Rattus norvegicus: one gene and its partners. The protein of the gene in region 5 purifies or fractionates together with the protein of the main gene of each other region. This does not show direct contact. Links are inferred from orthologs where the notes say so. Each region holds a gene or a part of one and is shown on either strand. Other genes may lie near its edges.

Evidence for each region.
Region 1: the proteins of Dnajc7 (region 5) and Bltp2 purify together in Homo sapiens (co-immunoprecipitation; 3 studies listed by BioGRID and IntAct, counting the BioPlex papers as one, with this or other methods). This does not show direct contact. The link is inferred for Rattus norvegicus from reciprocal best matches to the Homo sapiens genes DNAJC7 and BLTP2.
Region 2: the proteins of Dnajc7 (region 5) and Vps13c purify together in Homo sapiens (co-immunoprecipitation; 4 studies listed by BioGRID and IntAct, counting the BioPlex papers as one, with this or other methods). This does not show direct contact. The link is inferred for Rattus norvegicus from reciprocal best matches to the Homo sapiens genes DNAJC7 and VPS13C.
Region 3: the proteins of Dnajc7 (region 5) and Bag2 purify together in Homo sapiens (affinity purification with mass spectrometry; 7 studies listed by BioGRID and IntAct, with this or other methods). This does not show direct contact. The link is inferred for Rattus norvegicus from reciprocal best matches to the Homo sapiens genes DNAJC7 and BAG2.
Region 4: the proteins of Dnajc7 (region 5) and Bag5 purify together in Homo sapiens (affinity purification with mass spectrometry; 4 studies listed by BioGRID and IntAct, with this or other methods). This does not show direct contact. The link is inferred for Rattus norvegicus from reciprocal best matches to the Homo sapiens genes DNAJC7 and BAG5.
Region 6: the proteins of Dnajc7 (region 5) and Mlf2 purify together in Homo sapiens (affinity purification with mass spectrometry; 3 studies listed by BioGRID and IntAct, with this or other methods). This does not show direct contact. The link is inferred for Rattus norvegicus from reciprocal best matches to the Homo sapiens genes DNAJC7 and MLF2.
Region 7: the proteins of Dnajc7 (region 5) and Ift122 purify together in Homo sapiens (co-immunoprecipitation; 3 studies listed by BioGRID and IntAct, counting the BioPlex papers as one, with this or other methods). This does not show direct contact. The link is inferred for Rattus norvegicus from reciprocal best matches to the Homo sapiens genes DNAJC7 and IFT122.

The regions. Positions count from the first base shown.
Region 1 is NC_086028.1:63,674,604-63,678,103, forward strand, and holds part of Bltp2 (bridge-like lipid transfer protein family member 2), read left to right. Parts: intron 1-989; coding exon 990-1,089; intron 1,090-1,839; coding exon 1,840-2,022; intron 2,023-2,590; coding exon 2,591-2,712; intron 2,713-3,265; coding exon 3,266-3,421; intron 3,422-3,488; exon of another isoform or gene 3,489-3,500. UniProt on the Homo sapiens protein: Tube-forming lipid transport protein which binds to phosphatidylinositols and affects phosphatidylinositol-4,5-bisphosphate (PtdIns-4,5-P2) distribution.
Region 2 is NC_086026.1:77,477,999-77,481,498, forward strand, and holds part of Vps13c (intermembrane lipid transfer protein VPS13C), read left to right. Parts: intron 1-836; coding exon 837-997; coding exon of another isoform or gene 998-1,009; exon of another isoform or gene 1,010-1,010; intron 1,011-2,052; coding exon 2,053-2,174; exon of another isoform or gene 2,175-2,178; intron 2,179-2,829; exon of another isoform or gene 2,830-2,884; coding exon 2,885-3,179; intron 3,180-3,500. UniProt on the Homo sapiens protein: Mediates the transfer of lipids between membranes at organelle contact sites. Necessary for proper mitochondrial function and maintenance of mitochondrial transmembrane potential.
Region 3 is NC_086027.1:43,473,838-43,477,985, forward strand, and holds the start of Bag2 (BAG family molecular chaperone regulator 2), read right to left. Parts: upstream 2,801-4,148; 5' UTR 2,781-2,800; coding exon 2,668-2,780; intron 1-2,667. UniProt on the Homo sapiens protein: Co-chaperone for HSP70 and HSC70 chaperone proteins. Acts as a nucleotide-exchange factor (NEF) promoting the release of ADP from the HSP70 and HSC70 proteins thereby triggering client/substrate protein release.
Region 4 is NC_086024.1:136,590,479-136,594,495, reverse strand, and holds the start of Bag5 (BAG family molecular chaperone regulator 5), read left to right. Parts: upstream 1-1,217; 5' UTR 1,218-1,329; intron 1,330-1,771; exon of another isoform or gene 1,772-1,787; intron 1,788-2,971; 5' UTR 2,972-2,996; coding exon 2,997-4,017. Other genes in the region: Coa8 (cytochrome c oxidase assembly factor 8), read right to left, coding at 962-1,084. UniProt on the Homo sapiens protein: Co-chaperone for HSP/HSP70 proteins. It functions as a nucleotide-exchange factor promoting the release of ADP from HSP70, thereby activating HSP70-mediated protein refolding.
Region 5 is NC_086028.1:86,023,841-86,027,340, reverse strand, and holds part of Dnajc7 (dnaJ homolog subfamily C member 7), read left to right. Parts: intron 1-72; coding exon 73-226; intron 227-597; coding exon 598-762; intron 763-1,484; coding exon 1,485-1,576; intron 1,577-1,698; exon of another isoform or gene 1,699-1,796; intron 1,797-3,500. UniProt on the Homo sapiens protein: Acts as a co-chaperone regulating the molecular chaperones HSP70 and HSP90 in folding of steroid receptors, such as the glucocorticoid receptor and the progesterone receptor.
Region 6 is NC_086022.1:159,425,165-159,429,198, forward strand, and holds the start of Mlf2 (myeloid leukemia factor 2), read left to right. Parts: upstream 1-1,234; 5' UTR 1,235-1,475; coding exon 1,476-1,525; intron 1,526-1,744; coding exon 1,745-1,871; intron 1,872-2,114; coding exon 2,115-2,150; intron 2,151-3,130; coding exon 3,131-3,184; intron 3,185-3,479; coding exon 3,480-3,608; intron 3,609-3,773; coding exon 3,774-3,933; intron 3,934-4,034.
Region 7 is NC_086022.1:150,643,642-150,646,096, forward strand, and holds part of Ift122 (intraflagellar transport protein 122 homolog), read left to right. Parts: intron 1-860; coding exon 861-1,026; intron 1,027-1,466; coding exon 1,467-1,578; intron 1,579-1,974; coding exon 1,975-2,100; intron 2,101-2,455. UniProt on the Homo sapiens protein: As a component of the IFT complex A (IFT-A), a complex required for retrograde ciliary transport and entry into cilia of G protein-coupled receptors (GPCRs), it is required in ciliogenesis and ciliary protein trafficking.

The DNA of each region.
Region 1 (3,500 bases), about 22 Mb from region 5:
GCTGAGGATTTAAACTCAGGACCTGTTAAGTATGTGTGAGAGAGATCTGTTGTTTTTAGAGGTTAAAAGATAGTTTTGTAGAGTCAGTTCTCCCACTTTTTTATATGTATGCGAGTGCCTAAATGTCTGTATATCAGCTGCATACCCTCTGACACCAGAAGAGAGGGTGTCCAGGGTATCAGATCCCTAGAACTAGAATTACAGGCGGTCACTAATGTTGGTGCTGGAAACCAAACACTGGTAAAACAGCAAATGCTCCTTACTGCTGAGCCGTCTCTCCCGGCCCATCCTTTTCCCCTGTATTGTGAGTTCAGGGTTGAGCTTAGGTTATCAGACTTGTTCAGCAAGCATTTTACCTACTGAGCCATCTTGGCCCCTGGCTGTACTTTCTTGAGGTCTCACTGTGTAGTATTAGTTGTTTAGCACTTGATAGATAAACTAGTCTGACCTCAGAGTCCAGGAAGCCCACAGACCTGTCTTCCTCTGATCCCGGCTGCTAGATTACATGTGTTAGCCACTATGCCTGGGTTCACAGTAGTTCTGTGTGAAGATACAAAATGGCAAAAACACAAAGAACATACCAGCTAGGCATTGTGGCTCATGCTTATAACCCTAGCACTTGAGAGATCAAAGCAAGGTGGAAAACTCTCAAAAAATGTTATTAGGTGATTTTTAAATGAACTAAAATGATCACATTATCATTAGGTGATACAACCTTTTGTTTTATATTTGTGAGAGTCTCAACTATGTACTCTAGACTGTCATAGAACTATATATAGTCCAGGATGGCCTCAAATCTATGATGTTATTCCTGCCTCACAGCCTCTTGCTGGTATTACAGGTATGGGACTATTGTTGGACCTGCAATCTGTCATTGACTGAAGCATTCTTTTGCAGCACGTGACTCTATTGGAAACACGGCCATCTAAGGTGGTGGTAGAATAAGCTACCTTTTCCCAGGAGCTAAAGGTCCCTCAATGTGTTTGCAGGTGAAGAATATTGAAGAGCACCGGGAACGTAGTCTGGACTCTGTTCAGGAGCTGATGGAAAGTGGGCAGGCAGTGGGAGGCATGGTTACCACAACCACAGGTCAGCTCTCTTCCCTCTCCCAGAGTAAATGTGCATCCCAAAGGGACCTCATCTTCTTATCTAATCTACCTTCTGCATTTTTCCTTTCTTTTCCTCTCAGTCTGTGTAGGCCAGGCTGTCCTCAGACTCATGAGTTTAGGCAGGAGCTACCATATGGCTTTTATTTTATTTTTGAGAGTACTAGAGATCAAACTCGGGGATTTTTACCTTTGATTTGCAAACCCAGCCCTGTCTATCATCTGTCTTTCTCTTCCAGATTATCTATCTGTCTGTCTGTCTGAGACGGAGTCTCATTATGTAGCCCTGCCTGTCCTCACTTTCATGAATATTAAGCTGGTCTAGAACTCATAGAATATGTTACCACACCTGGCCCTAATTTTTCTGTTTTTTGTTTGTTTGTTTTAATGATTTATGTGCATTGGGGATATATATATATATATATGTGTGTGTCTGTGTGAGGGTATCGGATCCCCTGGAACTGTATTTACAGACAGTTCTGAGCTGCCATGTGGGGACTAGAAACTAAACCCTGGGTCCTCTGGAAAAGCAGCCCATGCTTCCAGCCATTGAGCCACCTCTCAGCCTCAGCTTATCTACTTATTCTTAGCCTCAGTGTATGTTGAAGTAATATTTTTTTGTCAGTCTTGACTGGAAACATTTTTGGAATTCCTTAGACATAATATTGAGATGGGAGTTCTTATTACACCTTTTGTGAAGAATCTCTTTGTCCTCTTGTTCACTTCTTCCCAGATTGGAACCAGCCAGCTGAAGCCCAGCAAGCCCAGCAAGTGCAGCGGATCATTTCACGTTGTAATTGTCGGATGTACTATATCAGCTACAGCCACGACATTGACCCTGAGCTAGCAACTCAGATTAAGCCACCTGAAGTTCATGAGAACCAGGAAAAGGAGGATCTCTTAAAGAAGCAGGAAGGTATCCAAGGCATTTCTGAAAGTAGTTATTTCTTTAGTGGTTTTAAGAGAGTAGACAAAGGGATTCCTGTAAGCTGTTGGTAATAACATTTACTTGGCTCTGCATTTTGTAAGTCCAACCATTAGAACAACCTGTACTCTTAGAGGAAGTTGGGACAGTGGTTACTTGGGATTCTATTCTGAAAGAAACATATTTCTATTCCCGGGTGCCTCTTCTTCCCTTTGTGTTGGAATGACCAACATGAGTGGTTCCAAATATTCTTTTTTTTTTTTCTTCTTTTTTTCGGAGCTGGGGACCGAACTCAGGGCCTTGCGCTTGCTAGGCAAGCACTCTACCACTGAGCTAAATCCCCAACCCCAGTTCCAAATATTCTTTAGGGTGGGTATGGTGGCGCAGAACTTTAATCTCCACACCCAGAAGGCAGAGGCAAGTGGAGCAAGGTAGAGGCCAGCCAGGACTACGTAGCGAAACCCTGTCTCAAAAAACAAAACAAAATATGGGTTAGGAGGGTGACTATATAGGGAGAAACGTGAACCTGTTATTTAACTGACTGCTTATAATTTTTCAGGGGCTGTGGATACTTTTACTCTTATCCACCATGAATTGGAAATTTCTACCAACCCAGCTCAGTATGCTATGATTCTGGACATTGTCAACAACCTGCTTCTCCATGTAGAACCCAAGCGGAAGGTGAGCATGAGCCCTTCTAGAATTCAAGTTAGGCTCACCTGAACCTTGATCTTGTCGTTTTCTTCGATCCAGTTAAGTAAAGTAATGATGGGCTGGTGAGATGGTTCAGTGGATAAGGAAGAAACTAATACCTCACCCTGAAAGGGGGACTTATGATTGGTAATTACAGCTATTGGAATTCATATTGTTAATGTTTGAGTATCTCTAAGACTGTATAGCTTGTTCTAGCCAGGTCTCTACTCAGTTACTAAACATTTCTGACAGTGGTGACTACACATATCTGCCTCCATCTCTACCCTGTGAGCCCAGCTTATGAAATCATCCACATTGCAGATCTTTTATACTGACCTACACCTTACTCTTGCTACTGATCACGACCGGTAAAGGCCAGCTTTCCAGAAGAGAGAGAGCACCATTCACTTTTCTACAAAACATATTAAGAAACGTTAATTCAGGGGCTGGTAAAGCCTGTACTGAGCCTAGCCTGCGTGAAGCTGTGGGTTTTATTCACAGCGCCACACAAAAGTACACGTTTCCCTCTTCCCTTTTTTAGGAGCATAGTGAAAAGAAACAGCGCGTCAGATTCCAGCTCGAGATCTCCAGCAATCCTGAGGAGCAGCGCAGCAGCATATTACACCTGCAGGAGGCTGTGCGGCAGCATGTGGCCCAGATACGGCACCTAGAGAAGCAGATGTACTCGATCATGAAGGTAGTCATCCTGGGTAAACTGAGGACAGATCTCTTAGTCTCCTATGATAGACACAGAGATCTCTCTCTCTCTTTTTTAT
Region 2 (3,500 bases), on a different chromosome or scaffold from region 5:
TGCCTGGTTACAGGAGATGGCTGCACATCCCCCATTGCTAGGAGTCTTAGCTAGGGCCACTCTCATAGATTCCCTGGGAGTTTCCATTGTCCTAAGTTTCTAGCTCATTCTGGAGATGCTTCCCACCATCTCTGCCCCTACCAGTCTGTTGTCTCTCCCAGTATTCACTCCCTTACTGCCCCACCCACCTTATCCCTCCTGTTCCCATTCCCACCCCTCCCCCATCCATATCCAGGGTCTGTTCTATTTCCCCTTCTCAGGGAGATTCAAGCATCCCCACTTGGGCCCTCCTTGTTACTGAGCTTTTGTGGATCTGTGGTTTATGGCAAGGTTATCCTGTACTTTATGACTAATATCCGCTTACATTTGCGTACACACCATGTTTGACTTTTTGGGTCTGTGTTACCTCTCTCAGGATGATCTTTTCTATTTGTTTTAGCACACTTACCTCCTCATTGCTTGTAGCAAAAGTTTTATATTAGTAATTGTTTTTCTTTTTTTTATCTCAGAATCTTAGAAAAACATATTTCTAGTAATGAGAAAACATACCCTTGTTATTACTGTGAGGAGTAACTATTTTAAGTTATTTATTTTATGATGTTTTTCATGCATGTATGTCTGTGAACCATGCATACCTAGTATCCTTGGAGACCAGAAGAGGACCTTGGATCCTCTATCACTGGTATTACAGATGGTTGTGAGCTACCATATGGGTGCTGGGAATCAAACCCAGGTCCTCAACAAGAACACATGTACCTTTAACTGCTGAGCCATTTCTCCAGGTCAGGATTGGTTATTATTAAAACATAGATATATCTAATTCTCTTCCTCTTCAGTACCACATGGCTATACAGAAGTGGCTAGTGTTCCTGTTGCCAGGCCTGGTCGGAGATTGTATAATGTACGGAATCCCAGTGCCAGCCGTTCAGATTCTGTGTTGGTACAAATTGACGCTACAGAAGGCAATAAGGTGGTCACTCTCCGCTCTCCTCTGCAGGTAATGCTATAAGGTAATGTGTCCCCTTGGGAATGCCAGGCAGAATTCAGTCATTTAGCTGAGACTGGGATGTGCAGTAAGCAACTCATTATTCAGAAATAAATGCCAAAGTGAAGCAGAGTCTGCTACTACCCCATTCTGTTAGTGTGGTTTATCTTACATGGCTTGAAAAGCAGGTGTGTGTGTATGTATGTATGTATGTATGTATGTATGTATGTATGTACTTACCTATGTAAGACCAGTTTTTCTGGCCACAAACCCATAAGCATTTAGTATTTTTCTTCAGAGATTTGAAACATTTAAACATCTAAACATTATTATGTTTCTTTGGAAATTTCAAACTTAGACGCTATGATAATGGATGATTGTCAAGTAGGATAGCCACACGCTCTTAGTATACCATCACTTGAGGCCATATTTTTTTCTGATGTATGTAAGATGTTTAGAATGACCTCATGTAAAAAAAGAAAGAGAAAGGCAGTTTAATCTATATAAACGTTTTTCTTTCTGCTCTTCTGGTTATACTAAACCTTTTAGTGTTTCCAGCATTAACTCCAGGCTTCAGTATGTGTTGGTGTAAGGAACACTTCTCCCCACCTAACTCGTGCATACAGATTGGGACTCATCTACGATTTGGAACCCTTTTTAAGTTGTTTTTAGCTGCAGCACAGAGCCCAGCGCAGACAGGGAAAGATTTCCATGGCTTTTCTGGTTTCTTTGTCACACGGTGTGTTAAAGGGAGGTTGTAATGGAGAAAACATGGCTGAAATCTTCATGAGTGGTACATCTTCAGTGGTGGCATATACTAACTGTATACACATGTCATATGTAGATGATGTGGCAATGCCGATTTGGAACTGTCACTTAAACATTGAACGACACTTAATCATAGTGTTTATAGGTAATGCTTAGATACCTAAATATTGTTGGTAGCCAATGAGAATAACTTCCAATATTAAGTTGAAACTTCTCAGATCTAAAATAAATGTGTGTGCTACTAATGCTTTCTATTCAGCTAATGTATAATTTTAAAAGTTATATATCTATGCCAACAGATTAAAAACCACTTCTCAATAGCATTCATCATCTACAAATTTGTCAAGAATGTTAAGCTGCTGGAGCGCATTGGGATAGTGAAACCCGAGGAAGAGTTCCATGTGCCTTTGGATTCCTACAGGTGCGCATGCCTGTGTGTGTGCACGCCTGTGCATGTGTGCACGCCTGTGCATGTGTGCACGCCTGTGCATGTGTGCACGCCTGTGCATGTGTGCACGCCTGTGCATGTGCTTAGCTTCCAAATGGGCTGCAGGTCGGCAGAGCTGGTATGGATGGGCGGCGCTGCTAAGGAGCTTAAGGATTTTTAGGGTCTTAGAGGGTGCTGGGGTCGAGTCCAGAGTGTGAGTGCACACGTCAGCATGCTGTGTGTGGAGACACTATAGTGAGTCCTGTGAATCTGTACAATGAATGTGGGTTGTTAGTTACAGAAAGGAAACAAACTCGTGTATTCTTAGTTTTATGAATTGTATCTCTAGTTTAGGGAGAGTAGCCTTGCATTTTTATTGTTCTAATCATACCACAGCCATTTTTAGGACATATAAAATTTATTCTTTTGATCAGAAATACATGTTATCATTGAATTTACAATATAATTTCTTCATCTGGTATTTGATACTTTGTAATTTTCTAAGAGTATATATTTTATTAGCTTGCCTTTATAGTTAAAATGAAACTATTTCAAGTTGTCCTTCCTCTGTCAGTAGCTTTGTTGCTTGGTGCATATTCTAAACTTTCTTATCAGTGGTTTCTATGTTTGTAAGAATATCGGAACCCACCTTATAGAGAGATCGTGAAGAGTCTGAGGTTCTCTTCCATGCCTTCTGCCTGTAGATGCCAGTTGTATGTTCAGCCGGCTGGCAGCTTAGAGCAGCAGTACACACAGTCCACCACGTACATTTCCTGGAAAGAGGAGCTTCACCGTAGCAGGGAGGTCAGGTGCATGTTGCAGTGCCCTGCAGTAGAAGTCAACTTCTTACCGCTCATCGTGAACACGGTTGCCCTGCCCGATGAGCTGAGCTACATCGGTGCCCACGGGGAAGACTGGGATCCAGCCTACATTATTCATCTTTACCCTCCTCTCACCTTGCGGAACCTTCTCCCGTATTCGATAAGATACTTACTTGAGGTATGTGTCCTGCATTTGGTATTATTATTGCTATTATTACGCAGTGTAAATTCGCATTGTTCTATGGTGTTAGTGTAAGTTGGTGTTTCATGTTTCTAAGATGTGTTCATTATAGCTAACCTGGCGCAGCATCAGTGGTTAGGCCTCATACTGTGTGTTTTCTGTATTAGCATGCTTCAGTCCTCACAGAGGCTTTGGTAGTGGGTTCAGTCCTTTGGCCCTTGCTACCGAGTCATAAACGGATCAAGGGTCTGATCCAGGTCTGATAGACAGTGGTAAAGCTGGGATTTACGCCTTAGCAGTTCAGCTTCCCCTTTTCTT
Region 3 (4,148 bases), on a different chromosome or scaffold from region 5:
TCCTTCCCACCAAGTCCCATCACAGCCCATCGTTCTCACTGCTAAAAGATAATAACGCCCTCCTCCCTCGGGGGTTTTATAAGATTCAAATGACAGTGTGCACGAAAAGCGTTCCTTCTAAATTACAGACTGTTAACGACAAATTAAATATGGTGTCAACTTGCTTTGTGGGTCCTGGAACACTGGCACATGCTAACAGGAACCTTAAACAGTCAGAAACCAAAGCAGGGGGTGGCCCGTTTCCCTGGCCCCTGCTGGCTGAGTGAACTGGGAAGGAGCTGCTCACCACATGATCGGTTTTGGGAGATGTGTAAGCAGCCGATCTCCCAGTCCTACCAACCATTATACCTCCTTGGCCAATGTCCAAAGCCCAGCCCCTGACCCACAGCTCCTAGAAGCTACTCAATAACAGACATGCTCCAGGTCTTCAATGTTTACTGACTCAAACGCTAAATTGATTTTCTTCTCTTTTAGTAAAATCATATTCATTCATAGGTCAGACGGACAGTTTGAAAAGTGATATTCAAGACCAGGACACATGGTGTTGACCTGAGCAGCCGGTCTTCCCGTGTTCACATGTGAAGTGCTCTGCTCTGGACTGAAGCATGTTGTGTATATCTGAGCTTCAACTTCTCATCTGCGCAATACAGATAACGGTAACTCCCCCAGAGACACGAGGCCTAGCCTACAGACTGATGCTAACATGGATGATTTATAAACTAGGATAACCACTAAAGAGTAAGGCGTTCGGCCTCGACAAGCGCAGAATCCCCATAGAGCTGGTCATGTAAATCAGGAAAGGACGGGATTATCTTTTTAGAGAAAGCACTGCAGGAGAGGAGGCGTAGTAATAAAATATTGTTTTAATGTAAGATGGTGTCGTTAATATCATAAGCCATTAGAAACAAACGGCATCTGTTACCGATTTATAAAACATTTTAAAGCATTTCGGACACCCCCCGAGGTCAGTTCATCCTGCAGGACATAAAGCCTTTGATGTGGTTTCAGTCCACAGAACCAGTTCAACTGAATGGAAGATGCACACTGGCTACCAACCAATGACTTACACTACCCCATCCACTGCTTTTCCCACACATGGGCACTAAGAAAGTTGGAGGGACGTCACAGGAGCGTCATCTTTCTCTACCCATGTTTGAAAAGCCTAATTTTAAAGTGTCCTGCTCTGTGACACTGTCCAGGTGGCTTCTAAAAAGGGCCCCCAAACCTTAAAAGGCAGCATCATCCCTCCCCCCATTTCTTTCACCTTCTGACAAACTTACTTCTAAGTGCGCATCACATTTTTAAAGAGAAACAAGACTTACAGAAATCTGCGCTTACTGGTAAAGGCCTTGAACCACTAAACACACAGTAAGAAACCCCCTTCAGCGCAACTGTTAATAAGTAACATAATTTAATCTCCTATGGGCCGGGAATTGAGATTCCTTTGACGTAGTCAGACATTAGAATGTAACACTAAGCAACCCCCAGACTTTCAAGAGGCCCCCAGGAGGAGAGGAGGGACTCAGCACATGGCCGGCAGGGATTAACTCAAGTTTCTGAACAATGACTCAGCTTGAGGAAGAGTGACAACTTCCTGAACCCTTCAAGGAAAAAAAAAATCGGAGCAGTTGAGAATGTACTGTCAAAGTTCGGAGCCTACCTCACAGAGGGAAACACTCCTCTCTTTTCAGAGGGGCTTTAATGCTGACCCCCTCCCTTCTCAGCATAGGTCCCTTTGTCTCCCTCCGGTTTGGGGGACATAGGGTTCAGGCTTCTCTTGTGGTTGCTACTCCAGAGACTAAAAGTTTCTCACCTTCTGGTTCTTTTCTCCTAATAGTAAAAATAGCGAACACCTCAATTGTAACAAACACTGCTTGTATTTTTCTGTGCAAACATACTGTGTTTGGTGGATGCACGGAGAGAGATGAAGACGCACAAGACTCTTAAGATTTTGGCTCATATTTCTGCTTATGCAGAACCTGGAGAAAACTAGGGAACAACATGTGTCAGGGTGTCTCCATACGATTTTCATGGAACAGCGCCTGCACACAATCAAAACTTGCACAACTTTGGAGACCTTAACGTTCCCACCAGATACACCGGGGCTCATGTTGCTAAAGCCAAGTATTCACAGCATCTGCTAGTAGTATTCACGATTTAGAAATTTTACTACAAGGCCGTCCCCGTGATAGAATCTCAGGGAGAGTGTGACGCCTGCCTTTGGTGTTTTCAGACCTGCGACTGGCACTTCCCAAGTGTCAGCTGTGTCTTCTAAACGCACAACATACACGGACAGACTGCAGAGGGCACTGCACGTGGTTAAGAGAAGGAAGGATGGTATCCAACTTCGGTATCTCGCGCGGCCCCTTTTGAGTCTGATTCTCGCTGGTCCCCCGGAGGGGCAGTCCTGGGTTTTTTCTTTTTTAAAACTTACTCTTGTGTTACTATGAAGTGATCTGGGGCAAAGAAACTTATTACAGGGGAGGGGGGAAGGACCACACCAACCTGCTGCCTGCCCCCTGGAAGCGGGAAAGTTAAAGGCAGAGGGGGACCGCGCCGAAGGATCTGGAAGTTCTGCAAGCCGCACTGGCTCGCCGCGCTGCCGGCCGGGGGAGGGGAGCCCACCCGGAGCGCGCCCCCGCCCGCGCGCGCCCCCGCCGCCCTCACCTGAGCTCCAGCTGGTCCAGGCTCTCCAGCAGGCGGCTGGAGCGGTCGGCCATGGAGGACGAGCGGCAGAAGCGGCCCTCGTGGGCCTTGGCGCTGATCTTCGCCTGGGCCATGAGCTCCGGGGGTCCTCGGCGTCCGCGGGTAGCAGTGGCGCGGGCCGCACGTCGCCGTCACCGCAGGCGCCGCTGACGCGGACGGCACCGCCCCCACCTCCCAGGCTCCCCACCCCCGAGGCCGCGCGGCCAAACAAGGGCAGGCGCGGGCGCAGCCGCCCGCACGCCTGGGTGGGGGACCCTGCCCCGGGGCGCCGAGGGCCCACGCCGTTCCTCCCAGCACCCACGATTCACAGCAAGGACGTAGTGGGTGCTGCCCGTGACGTGGGGAGAGCCGGAGACAATTCAGGACGCCCTAAAGGGCAGTCTCTACTTGCCCGACCTGTCGGGTGACCAGGCGGGCTCCGGAGAGTCCAGGGAAAGCCTGGACCACAGGCTCCAAATAAGGAGAAGCCAAGTGCATCTGTGTTGTCTTGCCTTTCCAATGAAAGGATTATTACTTTCACACATAACTTGTTTAAATCCTCTGCGAATGATATTCGGTAGGCTCATGTGTCAGAAGCTGTAGAGGTCAGCAGGGCTGAAGTACAAAGCCGCGTCCACTTAAAGTCGTGTTTTGCTCTCTCAATGCACAGGATACAGAAATGCACAGGGAAACAAAGTTCATTTACTTCCTTCACTCAGAACTCAAAGCCATTAGATCACTGAACAGAGACAAGCCCCTTAAGTACGACTGGCTTCTAGTCCCACCCCTCCACCCCCCACCCCATCCTTATCCTGAACTCATCTTAATACTAATGAGCGGTGGATTATCTTGGCTTCATTAAACACGGTCATCTCACGACACGACCGAGAAATCTGAACATTTTGTGGACGTCTTGGAAGTCTGAGCTTGGGCAAGTCTCAGGTCTAATGCTCCGCTGGAGGCTGAGACAGAGTTGTGTGAATTAGGCCAGAGTGAATTCAAGGCTAGGCTGGGAAGCTTCAGCAAGCGCCTGTGTCAAAAGAAAAATAAAAGGGGCTGCAGACACAGCTCTGCGGTAGAGTGTCTGCCTCTGTGCTAGGTTGGCAACTAAGCCAGGCAGATGTGGTTGTTTGAATTCCCCCTCCCTGTACTCTCTGTCCTCATCACCAGGGAGGACTTAGGTGAGGCCTCGCTGGAGGAAGTGTATCCCTATGGGCAGGTTTGAAAAGATTCAAGCTATTCCTAGTGTCTCTCTGCCTCGACTTGGGTTTGAGATGTGAGTGCTCAGGGCATCTCTGTGGCCATTATAGACTCAGACCCTCTGTATCTAAGTTCAATTAAATGCTTTATTTTACAGGTTGCCTTGGTCATGATGTTTTATCACAGCAGGAGGAAAGTAACTAAAGTAACAAGCATCTTCAAATATGTTTGCTTTAATGTGTCACAAGTTGAGCATGCATCAG
Region 4 (4,017 bases), on a different chromosome or scaffold from region 5:
TCCACAGCAGGCACATTTTGCAATTCTTAATTTTCTCTGTTTCTCTCTTCCCCTCCCTCATTCCCTCTCTCTCTCTCTTTTTTAAAGATGTATTCATTTATTATATATAAGTACACTGTAGCTGTCTTCAGACACACCAGAAGAGGGCATCGGATCTCTTTACAGATGGTTGTGAGCCACCATGTGGTTGCTGGGAATTGAACTCAGGACCTCTGGAAGAGCAGTCAGTGCTCTTAACCTCTGAGCCGTCTCTCCAGCCCCTCATTCCCTCTCTTAATTATTGCTTAATCGAAGCTCTCCAGTCTCTATCACTAGCCTAGTGGCAGGTGAAGTGTTAGTAGCCACTGATTAATGTTTTCATCTGACGGATAGACTCAAAACCTAGGCCTTCCTTAAACAGAACATCCTGTCGCAAAGAAGTGCAACTGATTTAATAAAAAAAAGATTTATTTATTTTTTATATATGGGAATACACTGTCACTGTCTTCAGACACATCAGAAGAGGGTATGGATCTCATTACAGATGGTTGTGAGCCACCTTGTGGTTGCTGGTAATTGAACTCAGGACCTCTGGAAGAGCAGTTAGTGCTCTTAACTGCTGGGCCATCTCCAGCCCCGGAACTGATTTTTAAAAAGGCTTCACGTCCTTTCCTGCTGCAGACAAGCACTGTTGATCTCTGACATCACGTGCATATTTACAAACAATGCGAAGTCTACACAAGTGAGATGATGAAGTCGGCCACCGCTTTAAACCGAACACTAGTCTTAACGAAGCGGAAGTGAGAAAACACACTTCAAGAGCTGTGTTGATACAAATGGTATTTAACTTGGTAGAATAAACAAGATTCGCACTCTCCACAGCGGATCCGCTACAAGGATCATTAGCCTGCCGGAGAGACGCGGGCGTCGTTGGGGTGCTCAGCGGCTTCCCTCCCTGCCAGCGCCCCGGCGTCCCGCTTACCCGGCTGGACGCAGCATCCCTGCGCTCCGTAGCGCGCTCACGGGCCAGCCGAACGCCGCCGCCGGAGAAGGACCGGCAGAGCAGCCGGCGAAGAGCTTTGCTTCCGGGCCGCAAAGCCGCCATGGCCCGCGCGTACGGCAGGATCGCGACAGTGGAAAGGTTGGCTTTACGGCAGCGTCGCAAAGCCTGGGGCGACGCGCGGCGAGGCCGACCCTGCGCATTCCCTGAGAGGGACGACCGGTTGCGGGGCCCGCACGGACGAGGAGGCGAGTTTTCTCCGGGCTCGGAGCTGAGGGGCCCGCTGTGCGAGGACGGCGACAACGCTGCGGAAGTGGAGGTGGCGGAGCGCGATGGCGCGTGCGGCACAGGTGAGCGCTGCGCGGGGGCGCGACCTCCGAGCTTCCGGAGTCGGGCACTTGGCCACCCTCGCTGCGCAGGCCAGCGCCCGCCGCGCGCCCATTGTGAGGTCAGGTGGCGGCGCGTCCGGCCCGGCCGAGACCCGGGAGCGGCCGCCGCGGCCAGTAGCTGCCGCCGCCTCCGCCGGCCCCTTCACCGGCTGCCCGGGTCAGACCTAGCCGGGAAGGGCGAGGGGGATGACGCTGGGGGCTCCGCTCCGGTGCCGCTCCCCGTGAAGGGCCGATCTCCCACCTCGCCGCCCTCCGCGGCAGCCAAGACCGCCGCCACCCAGACCTCTCGGAGTAAAGCGCTGCGAAGGCCGGGCTTGGACCCTCCCCAGGGACTGAGTTCTGTGGCCTGCCCGCCAGAAGTGAGCTGTTTGACAGAAACCTGAGAGCGTGGGAAATGCTCTAAGCACACTTACGGGGAGGCGAGTGACCGAGTTAATCGCAGTCGTCAGGTTTTTGCGGCGGGTACTTGAAGTCGAGGGCGAGGATTTGGACGTTTTCTTAGTTCCACTTTCTGAAAAGTAGCAAGTTTAGCTGTCTGTCCGAATGCTGCTCCTGTCAGTTTGGAAGAGCTACTTCCACAAGGGCACCCTGCTGGTTCCAAAGACTAGCTTAGGTTGGTGGGATTTCAGGAGATTGTGTTGCTGCTAACCCGGTGGGTTGACCTAGTATATGAAAGTGTATGCAGCTCGCTTTCATGGTTTAAGACAGAATTCATAGGCCTAGACATCCACCCAGGCTGGACCATGAGTACCTTCCTGTCTGTTCTTAAAATCCCTGCCGTGTTCCCTTATTTTCTTTTTGCTTTTGATTCTTGGTGTCACCAAGTAGTCCTTGGCGATCTTGAATTCGTAATTCTCTTTCCTCTGTCTCCCTGGTGCTAGGATGGTAGGCATACACCAGCTCACCAGCTTGGTTGGTTTGTTTTTTGTACCTGTTCAAAGAGGCAGTTGACATGTCACATCTTCCTTTTCCTCAAGTGTCTTTTAAACCTTTGACAAAACCCTCCGTGTGTTTGCTGCATGCCCAGCTGCCAGAGTTTGACCTGTCCACCCGCCATCGTTTCTGTGGTGTCCTTTGGTTTTGTTTTTTGAGGCAAGGCTTCTCATTGTCCTGGAGCCCCTCAGTTAGGCTGGCTGGCTGGCCAGTGAATCCCAGAGCTCCATCCGTCTTTGCCTCCCCGGCCCTGGGAATTTAACTGGGCACCGTCTTGCCTGGCCTTTCTGTTTTATTTTATGTGTGTTGGTGTTTCATTTGCCTGCATGGATGTCTGTGCACCATATGCGTGCCTGTAGAGTACAGAAAGGAAATCAGATCCCCTGGAACTGGAGTTACCATTAGTGGTGGTCATGAGTTGTCATATGGGTGCTGGTAATCAAACCCAGGTCCTCTAGAAAGCATTCAAGTCTCTTAACCACTGAGCCCTCTCTCCAGCCCCTTCCCTGGCTTTTTTTTGCACGTGTTCTGGAGTTGCAACCTGGACACTTGACTAAGAACTCTCTCCACAGCCCCAGTGAGCCCTTTTAAAAAGTGTACTAAAAAGGAGTGTTTGGATTGGGTTATTACCCTAAGAGACTAATAAGTTATCGTTCTTGCTATCTTTCAGTGCTTGTGAAACTGAACACACAAGTATGGATATGGGAAACCAACACCCTTCTATTAGTAGGCTTCAGGAGATCCAACGGGAAGTAAAGAGTATAGAGCAGCAAGTGGTTGGCTTCAGTGGCCTGTCGGATGACAAGAATTACAAGAGACTGGAGAGGATTCTGACGAAACAACTTTTTGAAATCGACTCTGTGGATACAGAAGGGAAAGGAGACATCCAGCAAGCTAGGAAGAGGGCAGCACAGGACACAGAACGCCTTCTCAAAGAGTTGGAGCAGAACGCGAACCACCCACACCGGATTGAAATCAAGAATATCTTTCAAGAAGCTCAGGCCCTTGTGAAAGAAAAGACTGTGCCCTTTTACAGTGGAAGCAACTGTGTGACTAGCGAGTTTGAGGAAGCCATCCAGGACATCATTCTGAGGCTGACACATGTTAAAACAGGAGGGAAGATCTCCTTGCGGAAAGCAAGGTACCACACACTAACCAAGATCTGTGCGGTACAAGAGATTATTGAAGACTGTGTGAGGAAACAGCCTTCCCTGCCACTTTCCGAGGATGTGCATCCTTCTGTCGCCAAGATCAATTCTGTGATGTGTGAGGTGAACAAGGCCAGAGGTACTCTGATTGCACTTCTGATGGGCGTGGACAGTTCTGAGACTTGCAGGCACTTATCATGCGTGCTGTCAGGACTGATGGCTGATTTAGATGCTCTAGATGTGTGTGGGCGTACAGAGATCAGAAATTATCGGAGGGAGGTGGTGGAAGATATCAACAAATTACTAAAATATCTAGATTTAGAAGAGGAAGCTGACAATACACATGCATTTGACCTGGGACAGAACCATTCCATTATAAAGATAGAAAATGTCCTCAAGAGGATGAGAGAAATGAAAAATGAACTTCTCCAGGCACAGAGCCCTCCTGAATTGTACCTGAGGTCCAAGACAGAGCTGCAGGGCTTGATCGGGCAGCTGGACGAAGTGAGTCTGGAGAAAAACCCCTGCATCAGAGAGGCCAGGAGAAGAGCAGTGATTGAGGTGCAGA
Region 5 (3,500 bases):
TTTGATCCCAGATGGTGGGAATGGTCAAGACATTGTGCACCACAGCTGAAGGTGTTGGTCTCTTTGTTACAGTGACATTTTACGAATGGATTCCACCAATGCTGATGCTCTGTATGTCCGGGGTCTTTGCCTTTATTATGAAGACTGTATTGAGAAGGCAGTGCAGTTTTTTGTACAGGCTCTCAGGATGGCTCCTGACCACGAGAAGGCTTGTCTTGCTTGTAGAGTAAGTTCTAAGCCTTGTGTTCTGAGAATCTGAAAGTGGGGATAAAACTTCCTCTCATATCTTATGAGTGAGACTAGGGCTGTAGCTCAGTGAGGTGAGGAGGTGTCACACTGTCATGCCTGGGGCCCTAGGTTCCATCCCTGCTCTCAAAGTGGGAGGAGAAGGGAGTAAAGAGCTAGCTAGAGTTGAAGAAGTGAGACCTGTGGGAATGTGACAGCTCCACTTGCCAGTTTGTTGAAACTTCCCTGAGGGGGCCATGCATGCAAGGGGCTGTGTCGTAGCAGACAGCTGGAGGTGAGAGAGAAAAAACGGTGAGAAAGAGTGACCTGAGGCTATGTGGACTGAATTGACCACCCCTTGCTCTTCTCCAGAATGCCAAAGCCCTTAAAGCCAAGAAAGAAGATGGGAATAAAGCCTTTAAGGAAGGGAATTACAAGCTAGCATATGAACTGTACACAGAAGCCTTGGGGATAGATCCCAACAACATAAAAACAAATGCTAAACTCTACTGTAATCGGGGTACGGTTAATTCCAAGGTAAGCACTTGATCTGGGGGTCAGAGGTGTTCAGAGATCTGCTCAGCCAGAGTAAGTTGGACAAAAGAACAGTGCCCCTCGTCCTGTAAGGAACTGCCTTCTAAGAAACAAACCTGCCTTTTTGTGTGTGGTGTTGAGAACTTAAGAGTCAGCTTGGCTGACCATTCCCTCCTGTTCTTTCCCAGTTGTCTTTTTGCTCTTGTGAGAGAGAGCAACTAGCAGGTCTGTGCCATTTGAATAAGTATTGTCTCTTCTCATTTGAGCAAGAATTTGTTTATTCTTCAGCAAAGAGACAGAGGAAATTAACAGTGTTAATTAGGCTTTGATAAATGGCTGAATACGGGTAGCTGAGAATAACTGTAGTCTTCCTGTGGCCCTGTTGCACCATAAGAGAGATTAGGTTCTATAGAATTCTAGTAGGTAGAAATTTTAGTCTTTCTGGTCTTTGTACTTATGCCGTGAAGAGTAGAGGGCAGGGACCACCCTTCTGTTTGTTGTTTTGGTTAGACACTAACATGGCACACTAGAGGCACTTTAATCAGTAATGGCGTGGCCTTTATCTCATAGTAAAGAAACCAGTTTGAAATTTGTTGTCTTTAGCCCTCTGACTTTCCCAGGGACCAAGACCAAGAACACAGTAGGACAGGGATCTAGCCATGTTCATATTGTCAGTGGCGACACGAAGTGTGATTGTGCTCCCTCCCTCTTTCTTTCTCCTGAAGCTTAAGAAACTAGAAGACGCCATAGAAGACTGTACAAATGCAGTGAAGCTTGATGACACTTACGTCAAAGCCTACTTGAGAAGAGCTCAGTGGTGAGTGCTCTGGAGGGCTGGGGGGACGGGGTTGCCACTGGTTAACTAGGGGAATTGCGTTGGATTAACAAAACAGACCCAGGGATGTTGTGAGGTCATTTGGTCCTTCCCCCTGCCTCTAGGTGGGATTGTTCCAGTCCTAGACTATCTTTATAGACCTCCAGCGGAGGAGATTGCACACGCTCCCTCAGTCTCCCATGCCTGTCTAACGCCCCTCACGGTCAGTAAGTTTCCTCTGATGCCTGACCCAAATTCCTTTCATTAACATGTGAATCCATTTCCTTTGAGATTTTATTTTGTGTTGTTCACTTCTGCTCTAACTTGGCACAGTGCTTGGCTCACTCAGTAAGTGTTTTGTTGAATGGACTTATGGTGCTTAGAAGAGGAAAGAAGGAAGTCTTCCTGAGGTGTACCTGCTGTTTGTCATGAGCAGGGAAAGTACGGTTGAAAGCAATTTCACTTGGCTCAGCGGTGCAGCTGTATAAAAACCGCTGTTAGTTAGGCCCAAGATAAATAGTTCATGCTGAGTATTCCGAGCCCAGTGGGCTCTGTGGAAAGGAATGTGCCTGCCGTATTTCCCCAGATGCTCCCCAGCCTCTTTGCTCACTATGCTCTTTAACCCGTCTTCCAGAGAGTCTTCTTCAGACAGAACAGTACGAGGGCCAGAATGCACCTCTCAGATCATGTCTTCTGGCCTAGGTGTGGTGGCATAGCCTGCAACTCTAGCACTTGTGAGATGGCAAAAGAGTCAGCGTCGTTAGTACAAGACCAGTGTGGGCTGTAGAATGAATTCCAAACCATTCTGAACTGGTGGGGAGATACCAGCTCAGTGGGGACCTGAGATCAAATCTCCTGAGCCCACATAAGGTCTGGGGTCTATAATCATGGTGCCCTACAGTGAAATGGAGAGAGACCTAGGAGAGTCCCCAGCAGCTCACAGGCCAGCTGGCCTGGCATATTATATATACAGTGTAAAAAAGAGGCCCCGTCTCAAAGTGGAAGGTGAGACCAACATTCACTGTAGTCCTCCTGCCTTCATTATGTGTTCCTTGCTCAGTGTGAGCCTGCGTTCCCACAGAAACATGTACACACCATGGCTCTGGTTTAACACCTGGCACAGTGGACAAAAAAAAGTCATTTCATTTCCTCCTGCTCTCTAAGCAAAGAACTTCCTGGTTTCAATTCTGTTGTTGTTTCCTTTTCTTACAAGTGGCTAAGCTGGCCTCAGACTTTCTATGTGTATAGTGAAGATGACATTGAACTTGTGATCCTCCTGTCTCCACCTCTTCCAAGTGCTAGGATTGGAGGCCAGCATCAATACAGCTTTAATGTGTTTTTATACACACTAGGAAAGCGCTATACACGCCAAGCTACCTTCCCAACCCTATCTCTCCCCTACCCCCAATCTCAGCCTGGGGCAGTAGTACTGGTTTTAAAGGTCCTTAAGGGAAAGGAAGTTCTTGGGTGTCATTTTTTCCAATGCCAATTTTATTCCTAACTATAAACCATAAAGTCCAGAGGACAAACACTACTTACTAATGCTTGAGCCAAAAAATCCCTGGTCAGTGGTATAGAGCCCCTCAGATCATCACCATTGAGATATAAAAGCTGCCAGTATACGTGATTTTTTTTTAATAAAATTAAGTGAATGACTAAGTCTGTCCAGTGAAAACATAGATGAATTGCATTATCAATTCTGAGAGGCTAACCCTTATTCATTCCAGAATCATACCTACTGTCACACAGGAATGGAAGCTTGGGCTGGAGGGATAGCTTAGTTGTGTAGACCCTACTATACATGTTTCAGGCCCTGGGTTTACTATCTCCCTGCTCCTTACCCCACAGAAGAGAATGGAAATCGGTAGAGTGCTTGCCTAGCATGCACAGTTGTGGTCGCTAGCACTCTATAAATTGGGCTTGCTGT
Region 6 (4,034 bases), on a different chromosome or scaffold from region 5:
AAGTTTTAAAGACGTAAGAGCTAGAGAAATGGGACTGGAATGTAACTTAGTGGTAGGACATGTGCTTGGCAAACCCGAAGCCCTCAGTTGGATCCTGAGCACTAAAGCCAAAACTAAAAAGCCGACAACAAAAAGCAAACATCAGAACTAACGCTTTTGCCCAGGCCAACCCTTCACAGACAGGTCTTGGAGTGGTCCAGAAGCCTAAGCCAACCCGGTGTCCTAAGGCAGTAAAGATCCAGCCTGGCCCAGGAGCGCTCTCTGGCGGCCAAACTCCCAACATCCCTTCCCTGGTTGGCCTTTTCCAAGGCTGAACTAGACCTGAGCTAAATTGTCACCTCCTCCTCTGCGTCACTCGGAGGACCCCGCCCGCCGGAGCGTCTCTCCAGAGGGACAGGCCCCCGCGCTCCCCTGGTTAAGCGCCCCTCCTGCACTGAGTTTAAAGGTCCCCGCAGGGATCCGCCCCACCGGTCGCCCCCAGACAGACCGCCTCCCCCCTCCCGCAAAGAAGGTGCGGCACACCCTGCCCCCGTCGCGCTCAACCAGTCCCTCCCGATTCCGCTCCGCCCTCCCCCACCTTTGCAGGAGCCTCTTCCTGTCCCCAGATCCCCGTGCCAGCTTAACGAGACCTCCCACCGGCCCCAGAGGACCCGCCCTCCGGGGCTCCGCCGCGAGCCCGCCGCCCCCTCCCATGCAGGTGGGTGGAGCTCCCGTGGCCCGCCCCCAAGACTGTCCGTCATGACGTCACTTCCGCTCGGGCCTGACCGAGGTTCGGCTCCTCGGGCCGAGGGCGGGGGTACGGAGGTGGCAGCTGAAGGCAGGAGGCGGTGCGGGAGGCGAGAAGCTCCCGCGCGGACCAATCCCTGCGTCCCGGGCCGAGACCCTGCTCCTGCAGCGCCCCGAGGAGAGGCCGGCCGGATGGGCCGCTGAGCCCGAGTCGGGGACCGGTGAGGCCAGGGCGGCGCGGCCCGCACGGTTGCAGGGATGCGAGCCCGGGAGTGGACCTCCCTCTCCGGCTCGCCCGGCGGGAGGCACGGGTTGGGGCAGCGGCGGACCGGCTCGGTGGGCAGTGAGGCCCGCCCGGAGAGGCCTGGTAGCGGCCCGTGCCAGCAGAAGGCGGAGTAGTTGGGGTCATTAATGGGGTGGCGGGCCGCCGTTCGAGATTCTCATCGAGACTGGCGTCGGAGGAGGAGCTGACCGTGGCTCGGGGAAGAGGATGGCGGGCGGGGGTGGAGGGGCAACACTAAGAAGCTTGGGGAAAATTCCGTGACCGGCTTGGAGAGCTACTCGCTCTCAAAACTAGAAGGTTATGTGGTCCACCTGCCGAAGGGTCTCTCTGGAGTTTGGATGGGTCATTGATAGTGTGTGCAAGAGACAGCTTTAAGAGTAGCTACACTGAGCTGGTGTGCATAAGCCTGCATGAAACTCAGCCTCCGTATCTTCACAGTGTGGAGCCCCCTGGAGCTGAGATCAGGATGTTCCGCTTCATGAGGGACGTGGAGCCTGAGGATCCCATGTTCCTGATGTGAGAATTCCCTCCCCCCTCGTGCACTCATCCCACTCTAATTCAGGTCTGAGCAGTTCAGACAGACCTCTGGGTTCCCGTGTCTGGAACCGGATAGAATTTAGCTGCAGCTCTCAGACGGGAGTTGGTCTCCTGCCACTGCGCACCCTGACTTATTTGGGGGGAGGTGAAGAAGGCTGGGGTTTAATCTGCCGTCTGTATTGTATGCTCACTCCACAGGGACCCCTTTGCAATTCACCGTCAGCATATGAGCCGCATGTTGTCAGGTGGCTTTGGATATAGCCCCTTCCTAAGCATCACAGATGGTAACATGCCAGCAACCAGGCCTGCCAGCCGCAGGATGCAGGTAACAGTTGGAACATACCGAGACCCAGGGTGACTAGTTAAGTATGCTGCCATTCTGGTCCTACAACCAGCTTTAAAAGGACATGATCTGTGTGGGAGGCAGAGGAGTGGGGATAGAGAATCTGGGAAAGGGGGCTTTGACTCCCGAGGAGAGAAGGATGGGGTTGGGGGATGGAGGCACTGGCCACGTTTGGTATAGTAAGGTCGTAGGATGTAGTTCTAACTTCTGTTCCTTATCTTGTAGGCTGGGGCTGTCTCTCCCTTTGGGATGTTGGGAATGGTGAGTTCTTGTCTTCTCTGTTCCCCTCGAGCTCGCTCTCTCTCTCTCTCTCTCTCTCTCCTGTGTCTCTGTCTGTCTCTCTCTTCTGGCTCTTTGTGTCTCTGTCTCTCTCTTTCTCTGACACACAGATACACACAGACCTTAGATGTTATTTTCAGATGTGCCACTTTGGTGACAATGTTAGTCTAGGGGTGGTCTCAAAATCTTCTCTGGATAGTTGACATAGTTTAGAGCCCATTGAATATAAATCATGGAGCTAGGGCTAGAGAAATGGCTCCAGGGTTAAGAGCACCTGGCTGTTCTTCCAGACAACCAGGGTTTGGTTCCCAGCACCCACATGACAGCTCACAACTGTCTGTCTGTAGTCTCCAGGCATCTGATGCCATCTTCTGTTCCCTACCGTGCATTGCATGAATGGAGGGAACACATACATGCAGACAGAACACTCATTCATAGAAAAATATAAATAAAGTGCTCAAATACTCCTGATAGCTGGAAGTTCTTATCCACTGGGGAAAGTAAGATTGTATAGCAGTTCTTTTGAGGAGGGAGACTTTGGGACACTTTTACAACTCTAGATATTCAGAGGGTTTTTTGGTCGATGTCTTGGATTTTGGTTTTTTGAGACAAGGTTTCTTTATAACAGCCCTGGGTCTCCTGGAACTCACTCTGTAGACCAGGCTGGCCACAAGTCATCTGTGCTTGCCTCTGCCTCCCAGTGTTGGATTAAAGGCAAACCGTCAACATTTAGCATGTTCAGAGGAGCTAACTCACTGCTTTTGGGTCACTTCCTTAAAGATAGGGAAATGCACAGGTAGGAGAAGCATCAGAACAGCCACAGACCCGAGAAGGTGGCCAGCAGCTTATGGGGAGGAGCATGAGTGTTCTGGCTACATTTAAGAAGGAAAGCGGGTCTGTCCTCAGGTGAGTGACAGGCCCACAACCGCTGACCCATCTTCCTGACCCTCTCCTTTCCTCAGTCCGGCGGCTTCATGGACATGTTTGGGATGATGAACGACATGATTGGGAACATGGTATGACTTGCTCCAGTCTTCCCCGGCCTTGATCTCGGTGGCAGCCAACATGGCGGGAGGGGGTGAGGTGATGTGCTAGTGAAGAGGCTGGGTTGGACTGAGCTGAGCCAGAGCACCGGGGTCCTGTGTGTGTTCTTATACCCCTGAGCGATCACATGTGTTAGTGTTGGGCTAGGGAGTTGGGCAGTTGTGATGCCCATTCTCCTTGTGTAGTTAAGAAAGCTGAGGCAAGAGCAGTCAGCTGGAGGGAGCTCCCTTCTGCAAAGTAGGCCCTCCTCATTCAGTCTCTCCTCAGGAGCACATGGCCGCCGGAGGCAACTGCCAGACCTTCTCTTCCTCCACGGTCATCTCCTACTCCAACACTGGGGATGGTGCCCCCAAGGTTTACCAGGAGACATCTGAGATGCGCTCTGCCCCAGGCGGGGTGAGTAAGGAACTCCCCTATCTCAGAGGAGGTAGGACTGATTGGCACACACAGGAACCAGGGACGTCTTTTTTCAGGAATGGGTCGTGGGTGGTGTGTTCATCCAGGGTGATGTAGCCAGGGCTTTGTGGGGACAATTGCATGTGTCTGGTCCCTTTGTCCCAGATCCGGGAGACACGGAGGACTGTCCGGGACTCAGACAGTGGCCTAGAGCAGATGTCCATTGGGCATCACATTCGGGATAGGGCCCACATCCTCCAGCGCTCCCGAAACCACCGCACGGGCGACCAGGAGGAGCGGCAGGACTACATCAACCTGGACGAAAGTGAGTGAGCCAGCCACTCAGCCAGCCTGCCTGCCTGCCTGCCTGCCTGCCTGCCTGCCTGCCTGCCTGCCTGCCTGCCTTCCTTCCTTCCTTCCTTCCTT
Region 7 (2,455 bases), on a different chromosome or scaffold from region 5:
CTAGTCAGGGACAGCTATCCAAAGGAGGGGACTCCACACTCCACTAAGGTAAGGCTGGGCCTAGTCAGGGACAGCTATCCAAAGGAGGGGACTCCACACTCCACTAAGGTAAGGCTGGGCCTAGTCAGGGACAGCTGTCCAAAGGAGGGGACTCCACACTCCACTAAGGTAAGGCTGGGCCTAGTCAGGGACAGCTATCCAAAGGAGGGGACTCCACACTCCACTAAGGTAAGGCTGGGCCTAGTCAGGGACAGCTATCCAAAGGAGGGGACTCCATGCTCCAGACTAAGGCAGCAGAGAAGACCATAGATAGGGTGGGTGTATAGAGGCTTCATGAGGTGGATGTAGACAAGCCCAGCTCCTATGTGGGGTACTTCAAGTCCTGGGAGTCTACTTCTCCTCTGCCAACGAGAGCTACAGAAGGATCAGAAGCACAGAAGAGAAATAGCCCAACATTTCACAAGCTTGAAAGTAATTTCATTTCCCTCTTCTCATCTGGCTCACCTGCCTGCCTCATGTAGGAACCCGTCCCAGAAAAGCACCCCAACTCACCATTAAGAACTCATTTCCTGAATGGTCCAGACTCATTATTTACTCTTCAGGGCCAAACAAATGGCCTTCACTGTGATAACCCTTCCACTGACAGGTCAGGTTCAGCCCTGCTATCTTGGTACCTGAGTCTAATTTGTCCCAAAAGTTGTGTTGATTTACAGGTTGGTTAAGTTGGGTGCTGAGCCTCCCCTGGTGTTGTCCAATAGAAACACAGAAGTGACTACCTACACAAGATGCTTTCTAGCCCAGGGATGGATAGTGTGGGCTCCAGTTCACACCCCTTTTGTCCTTAACCTTATCAATGGCAGGAATACACTCTTCACATTGGCCAAGCAGAGCAAGGCTCTGGGTGCTTACAAGCTGGCCCGGCATGCCTATGACAAGCTGCGGGGGCTGCAGATCCCTGCCAGGATCCAGAAGTCCATTGAGCTGGGCACCCTGACCATCCGCTCCAAGCCCTTCCATGACAGTGAGGTAAGGGCATGTCTTTGAACCTGGTCTGTGTTCTGTTGGAAGATGACTGCTGTGCTCTTGGCTCCCCTACCAGTGTACTGGGATAGACTGGGTTCAGACCCCAGGTCTATGCTTCCTAGCTGTGCCTCAGTTTCCTGCTCTACCAGGTGTGTGTATAAACCCTTCCCCACAGGTGGTAGGAGGTACTAGTGCAGCATAAACGATGCACCCAACACAGTGCCTAGAACCTGGTGAGGGGCAGGAATTGACAGTGGACAGAGTTGTTCCTGTCAAGACAGCATCCTGCTGAGGCCCGCCTAGGAGGAGGTGTCTGGGCAGTGAGCCTTGGGTGGAGTCTTCAGTTGGCCAGCCTCCCCACAGCATGCAGTCTTTGGCCCTGGGAGGAGGGGAGGTCTGCACACTTCCACTTCAGCCTGGGCAGACGTGTTCTTGTTTTATAGGAGCTGGTTCCCTTGTGCTACCGCTGTTCTACCAACAACCCACTGTTGAACAACCTTGGCAATGTCTGCATCAACTGCCGCCAGCCCTTCATCTTCTCCGCCTCTTCCTACGGTGAGCCCTCCCACTGCTTTACAGACATGGGGCATTGTGCAGAAGGTGATGCCACCATGCCGTAGATACAGAATTGCTGTCAGAATCCACAGAGGCAAGGCCCAACATGTCCCAACCAGAAGTCCCACTCTCATTATAATGACAAGCTGGGTCCATTGTTCAGTCTGAGAGGCTGAGGGAGCAGTCCTGGCCTACCTCTTTCAAAACAGCCACTGTGGGGGAGAGGGGCTGCTGGGGACCTGGTCCTCTCACATGCACTGTGCCCCTTGCCTGCAGAGAGGCTGCTTGGGAAAGGGGACATGCTCTGGCTGTTCTATTTGCTCACACACTGCCTGGTGTGAGTGACAGTCCCAAAGCTCTCCTGAAGCCATCCCCAGCCCCTCCCTGTCCCCCCAGAGGTGCTGCACCTGGTGGAATTCTACCTGGAAGAGGGCATCACTGACGAAGAAGCTGTTGCCCTCATTGATCTGGAGGCACCAAGACACAAGAGGGAGGGCAAATGGCAGGAGACCTCAAGCAACAGTATCCTATGCTCTTGGCTCCAGCCAGGCCAGGGCCAGGGGCTGGGAGAGGAGGCAGCATGGGCTGTGGCAGGAGGGACAAAAGGATAAGATCAAGAAAGGCTGGGGAGGTCCCCACACAGTGAGGACCAACATCAGAAGCGGGCAGAGAGCTGGTCAGAGCTTGCAGGATAAGGAGAGTGGCACCTTCGTCTTCCTGTGAGGACTCCCTACCCTGCTTCTGAAGACACTGATCATGCTTCTGGTCCACAGCTAAGCGGGAGCTGTAGTACATACTTGTATATACTTGGGCAATCCCTAGCTTTCTCCTCAGGTAGCTCTTCATGCAGTGGCAGCAGTCAGTTCTCAGGCTGAGG